Arabidopsis thaliana: one gene and its partner. The protein of the gene in region 1 interacts with the protein of each later gene in a pairwise test. Each region holds a gene or a part of one and is shown on either strand. Other genes may lie near its edges. The genes, in order: GATA7 and ESE1.

Evidence for each region.
Region 2: the proteins of GATA7 (region 1) and ESE1 interact in a two-hybrid assay, tested with the Arabidopsis thaliana proteins (one large-scale study listed by BioGRID).

The regions. Positions count from the first base shown.
Region 1 is NC_003075.7:17,146,430-17,150,191, forward strand, and holds GATA7 (GATA transcription factor 7), read right to left. Parts: upstream 2,068-3,762; 5' UTR 1,783-2,067; coding exon 1,582-1,782; intron 1,463-1,581; coding exon 947-1,462; 3' UTR 711-946; downstream 1-710. UniProt on the Arabidopsis thaliana protein: Transcriptional activator that specifically binds 5'-GATA-3' or 5'-GAT-3' motifs within gene promoters. May be involved in the regulation of some light-responsive genes.
Region 2 is NC_003074.8:8,285,920-8,289,289, forward strand, and holds ESE1 (Integrase-type DNA-binding superfamily protein), read left to right. Parts: upstream 1-2,022; 5' UTR 2,023-2,049; coding exon 2,050-2,469; 3' UTR 2,470-2,683; downstream 2,684-3,370.

The DNA of each region.
Region 1 (3,762 bases):
GTTTGTTCTTTTCTCACTGATCTTTCCACATTTTGCTACTTAGTTATAAATGATTTTCCCAATTCTTTCACAGTTTCACTTCCGGACCAAAATTTTTGATAAGGATCCAAAAGTTGTGTTTTAATCAAATTTTAACCAACCTGATATCATAATTTTAACCAAATTGTTACTACTAATCTTTATGTGAGGGTTTGCTTTAGTATTTTACATGTACAAAAAAAATAAAAAAAATGGAGTCACCAATATTTGTGTATGCAAACAGAAAGTATACCAGTTTGTATTCTTAAATATATAAACACTGTGTCAACTATCAATGATACAATAACATAATTTAGAAAATAACCAATGCATTGGTATTTGTAGCCGCACAAGTATTAGATCGATATGGATTGATTTTCAGTTTTTTTAACATAAGAGTGTGAATGAGGGGCTCGTACGTCGTAAATTTTTAGGGTTGTGTAATTGAAAAATTAAATTGATTTTTGGTCAAATTTTATCTTTTATCTTGTCTCAATGTTAACAACTTCTATACTGGTTTAATAAAAATATACAAAATTCTACTTTAACTTTAAGGGGCAACGACGATATTTTGAAAAAACAGTTATAAAGGCAAAATTTCAAAATAACGTTTTAACAACTTTTTTTTTTTTTGCATTAGCAGTTTTTTAAAAAAACTCTAAATGAAAAGAGTGTGAGCTAAGAGGAAGTAACAGTAGTTAATTATGGTTGTGGTCACAAAAATTTGGGTAACGGTTGGACTGTATTTAACAAAACTTTTAATGATCATGATTTCTAATCATGCATACTCTATCAAATAAAATTGTCTCTAATTATAGCTTAACTTCATGAATGTGAAAACAGTCTACGGATCTCTCTCTGATTCTCTGTTTACAAGATTACACAATGCACATGGCATTGATAAAATTTCAAGATAGAAAAAAATGGCTTAAACCCGAGCCGGATCCGCCACTTTCATGAGCCGTAGCTCCAACACTTTCCGGTGAGAGTTAGAGTGAATCTCGTTGGTGAATGTTGGGCTACAAGCGGGTCTATATTCGGGTAAAAGTCGACCCGACTTAAACCGGACCCCACAAGCATTACACAGTGTCTTCGCACCTAATGGACCCATTCTCCATTGAGGCGTCTTCTGGACTCCACAATGGCTGCAGCACCGCCTCAGCTGCTGCTGCTGGACTACGCCACCGTACGATGCATCCACCTTCTGTCTCCCTCTCTTCTTCCTTCTGGCAACAGCGGTGGATAGCAGAGGAGATGGAGACTCCATAGACCAGATACGGCCGTTGGTGCGGCGGCGTTTGCTTCTAGGTTTAACAGGAACGCACTGTCTCCGAACCTCCACCGACGCGACTGGATTCACCGGGAAATCACTCGAAATATACGATTCTGAGAAAGAATCCTCCACGAAGTTGGATAACCACTCTAAGTCCTCCAAATCACCAACCTTCACAAACAAAACAAAAATGAGATTAAAAACAGAGCAAAACAGAGCAAAAACAGGGTAGAGAGAAACAGAGTGTACAAAACAGGGGAGATAGAAACAGAGTGTGTAAGTGGGCTCACCGGAGCGTCGCCGGGAAAAGATAAGAGATCCTCTGGCGGTGAAAGACGGGTACTTTGGTCAGAAAAGCTCTTAAATTTCTCACGTTCTTGTTCGTCTTCTTTTCTTTGTGACGAAGACGACTCTAAAGAAGTGTCGGCGTTAGAGAGGTCGAGAAGATCGTCGACGGAAAAATCACCGAGAAATGCTTCTACACACTCCATTTTTGTCTCTAGCCGTATGAAAGCACTACAAGTATTTTAAATAAAGGAGGAGCGAAGCGAATCCATATTTGAAAAAGTTTGTTCGTGTTCCAATATATTTTACACAAATTTCATTCTTTCTTTTTCAAAATTTTAAATTCTTTACGTGTCTATCGAGTGAGAGAGACAGTGGAGAGTGGACAGCACTGATTGGGGTTTGTAAGCAAGAGTGGGTTTTAGGTTTTTGTGATTTTGGAAGACTTGTTTGGTATTTGTCTCGTTACAAATCTCGTAACAAATCATGCATTGCCATGTCAGCATTTCACATTGAAAAGGAAACCAAAAATACGTTTCCTTCGTAAGTAAAATGTTTTTTTTTTTTTTTTTTAAATGTTATCTGAACTTATCCGTAGAATTTTATTTAAAGATAACCGCTCTTTGTAGTCAATTCAATTTATTAGAGTTCTTAATGCCAAATTTTAAGTTCATAATATTAAAAGACAGCAAAGATTTCTTCATAATTTAGAACTATCATTTTTGACTTAACCATCGGCGCAGAGTTTGCAAGTCTTTTTAAGTTCTTTTACTATCAAAATAACTGAATAAAGTCATTCAGAACTAGTGGTATTCTAACGATCTAATGGCTCAACCTAATTAATCATGACCGTTGAAAGTGTTGTTGGGCCAAAAATATCGTCGGTTAATACAACTTTCCCTCTATATAAAGCTAGTTTCTTGCAAAATATGGTTTTTTTTTGTTAACATAAAAAAGAAACTAGTAGCACATATATATATATATATATATATATATATTTTTTTTTTTTTTTGTTGTATCAGTATTTCGAAGGTTTTACAGAAAAGAAGAAAAAAATTAACAATAATTCATACGTCGAGAGTAATGATTGGACTATCAGGCTTCTCGGGCCCACTCGACCGTCGGTGGAAGGCCCAATTTTACCAAAACAAACAAAAACGTTATTAGTAAGGGCCTATTATTTATTTCTTCTTTAATTTCAAGGAAAGAGTGACCATCATATGTTGAGCGCGTGAAAATATCGCTCATGGTTATATATTTGTTTTTTCTTTGAGATAATAATTTCCATTAGAAAAAGTCGGTTTCAAAGTTAGAAAAAAAACATCTAAACATTCACGTAAAGTTTACCAGGAGCAATGGAGCATAAACATATTCAAATTACACACATACCTAAATAGTAAATAATAATAAAATACATAGACTTGTATTTTTATTATAAATATAATGAACTACATTCCAAACAATTGGGTGTTTGGTCTAGTGGTATGATTCTCGCTTCGGGTGCGAGAGGTCCCGAGTTCGATTCTCGGAACACCCCTCTTTAAATTCTCTACTGCTACATCAATTTTTTTCCCCTCGGATTAAATTAACGCAAGAAAGTCGTAGACTGATGACATACAATATGGTGGTGGCTCACTAAACTGACTATATGCCTAATTAGCCCGATGGGCCACATGGGCTCAATGCAAGTCGGTAAAAGGTGGAATGTTATTGAATGCGATGTATGTTGGCAGAGGAGTAACCGTACAAATTAGACTATTTTATACCCATGAAATCATTATCGTTCGATAACATAAGATAGTAAACTTTCATGATCTCGTTCTCTATGCATCCATCTCTCATCTGTGTAGTGTAGCTTTTTTTTTCTTTTTTCCCCACAGTATTTATCTCGTAAACTATACTTTCATATAGTCATATATGTGATATGAACATTGACACTGTACGTAACTTATATGATGATTAAGTTTACATGAAAACCATTCAAGTTTTTTTAAAAGCGTAAATACAAAATTACTTCATGAAATTTACGTTTATAATTTAAAATGAACTTCGATTTAAGTTATTTGCATTCAGAGAAAATAGAAATTAATTAAATGTAGCAACGATGTAAGTGATAGCCATAAAAATATCACATTCTTTGTATATCGGAAATTTGGTTGAGCTTTTAAGTCTTGAACCCTCGGATA
Region 2 (3,370 bases), on another chromosome or scaffold:
AGTACGTAGTTTTGTCAATATTCTAGAGCGAGCAGTATCCACAAACTCAATAGAAGGCCAAACCAATTACTTGTTTGGTCAAAAAGTCGAAGACTTGTGAAAGAGTTGGCACTTGACATGGAAAAAAAATCTAACTTTGATAAAAGCAGGAACAAATAAAAGACACAAAGTGGGAAAATGGCCAATCGAAGAAAAGGAAAGACAAGTGAAGCAGTGTCATGATCATTACAGTGAAAGAATCAAAGAATCATTCATGTTTTCTTTTAAGTTTTTGACACTTGGAAGTTGGAACAACAAAACGTTCGTTGGTGTTTTCAAACGCCGCCATGCATCTTCGGATTTCAAGCATCTATCTCCCGGAGATGATCTTTTCATTATATTTTATCTTTGTAATTTAAAACCTATGTTATGAAATTATTTGGTACATTTTTTTGTTTAAGTGAAATTATTTGGTACATGCTGATGTTACTTCCACAACTTTATCCAATTTCTGAATTAGATTTCTTTCGTTTTGTTTTATACTCATGAAAATACACATTTCAATACTCGAAATTATTTTAAGCATAACCCACATCCAACATGTGATGGGACCTATAGTGATATGAGATAATACACTCATTGTTAATTAATTTCAAGTTAAAAGCTATGAAACTTAATGTGGTATTAGAGACCATATTTGATCTACGTAATATTTGCATAGTGTGATCAATTCGAAATTGGACGGAAAACCATTATTTCGAGGAGAACGTGTTAGGAATTTCACATTGAAAAGATGATACGACCTAGGGTAATATATAAAGTTAACAAAAGTGAACATATTCTATTGGATGTTAAAGTTGTTCTCCTACATATTTTGAGATGAAGATGTTTTTATAAACTAATATCCTTTGTCCAATATATGGCCTTCAAGCATTGGTGGGAAACAGTTTGTTGGGCTTATTGGGTCGCTCAACATACCCAGTAACAATGTCGAATTAAGAGGCCTAAGCCCATGATTTGACATTTGTAGTTATTTTTTTGAACCTAGCTAATATACAGCTGTTCTAAAATGTTCTTTCTGCAATGTTTTGTAGTGATATAATCATGCTAAAGTACATATAATTTGATCAAATAGGTTTACAATACACACAACTCCTAAAATTTGAATTTATTTTAACTATATTTTTTAAAATATATGTTATTAAAACTGAAATAACTTGTCTATCAAAACTGTATATATATTTTATATTATCTACTATAAGTGTTATCATATTTTACATGTCTTTATATGTATTATGATTCAATTCACACACATTTCTATGTGTTTCGTGATGGTCAAATTGAAATTTAAAAGACTAGAATCTACTACACGTGCATTCAAATTTCACACGTGAGTCAATTAATTGAAGGAAAAACAAAAACAAAAGTAGTATGCTCTATCAAAATGCAGAAATATTTTATGTTATCTACTATAAGTGTATCATATTTTACATGTCTTTATAAGTATTATGATTCAATTCACACACATTTCTATGTGTTTGGCGATGGTCAAATTGAAATTTAAAAGACTAGAATCTACTACACGTGCATTTAAATTTGACACGTGAGTCAATTAATTGAAGGAAAAACAAAAACAAATAGCTTGACCCAAAAAAACAAAAGTGAGAGGCTGAGAGTATCTTTTGGTCCGTTGTCATAAAAATACTTTCATTCAACTTAGCCGTCTCCTTGACCATCCAGATACACATACGACCCTATCTTTTTGATTTTTACAATTTAGTCCCTTAATTCTTCATATATTATAATGTACACAGAGCAGCCACAATATATCCAATTTTTTAGTCGCACCAATAAATTTCATATACTATTACGATGGCATATAAATATTTTTATTTGCAATTTATCCCCCTGATTTAACTTTATTGGTAATTTAAAGGAGGCTTTTGAACAGGCACGTGCGTTAAAATAATATCCACTAGATTTCTCTAATAGAGTCACATTACTTCCACGTATAAGTTGTCATAGCTATCAACTCATGTACATGCAAAAACAAAAACCTTAAAAGCTTTCATGGAACGTATAGAGTCTTATAACACGAATGAGATGAAATACAGAGGCGTACGAAAGCGTCCATGGGGAAAATATGCGGCGGAGATTCGCGACTCAGCTAGACACGGTGCTCGTGTTTGGCTTGGGACGTTTAACACAGCGGAAGACGCGGCTCGGGCTTATGATAGAGCAGCTTTCGGCATGAGAGGCCAAAGGGCCATTCTCAATTTTCCTCACGAGTATCAAATGATGAAGGACGGTCCAAATGGCAGCCACGAGAATGCAGTGGCTTCCTCGTCGTCGGGATATAGAGGAGGAGGTGGTGGTGATGATGGGAGGGAAGTTATTGAGTTCGAGTATTTGGATGATAGTTTATTGGAGGAGCTTTTAGATTATGGTGAGAGATCTAACCAAGACAATTGTAACGACGCAAACCGCTAGATCATCACTACTTACTTACAGTGTAATGTTTTTGGAGTAAAGAGTAATAATCAATATAATATACTTTAGTTTAGGAAGTTATTCTGTTATGAGTCAATTTTCCCGGGAAAATTTAAATTACTAGTTGTCACAACTCACAAGTGTGTTGATTGGCTTCAGGGTATAAATTAAATAGACTTGGCCCAAGTTACTGCCTTACTGGCTAGAATCTGAAAAGTGTCCTACAATATATCATTGATCTAACTCGAGAATAGTTTACTTAGATTTAGATAAAAAAAAGTTCTGTTTAGTTTTCTGATTATAAATAAATTTAATTTTACCTCTTCTTTTCAATAATATTATGGAGATCCCATTGAATCTAAAAAATGATATATTTTTATTCTCCTACTTCTCTATTTTTTTTTTTTTGTCAACAAGGTCTATTGGTTTTTCTACTCAACTATTTGCTGTGGTGGTGTGGATACAAACTATATATCGCGCTCAAAGATTCTGCAGAGACAATAATGTCACTTGACCGATTCTCATACTTAAACAAATAAATTTGCAATATATCCTAGTTTTCTCATATTTTCCTAGTCAAAGGATTAATAGTCTATCTTAAAAACTTTAACTACGACAGTTGATATTAATTCTGCTTTTTTTTTCCTTAAACAAAAATTTATTATAGATGATCATCTTGATCGGATACGATAATCTCAATTTCTCACATACGACGATGTTCTAGTTGTTGGCAAAGTTGATTTTCAAGTAAAAAGATAATATATTGTTCTATTAGAATATTTCTTTTAGCACACCGATATCAATTCATCGTCCATAGATTCTCTAGGATGGTTAATTATAATGAAAATTTTCTCGTCTGACTTCTCTTCTACAAACTGAGGAATTTTACAATGTTCAAGAA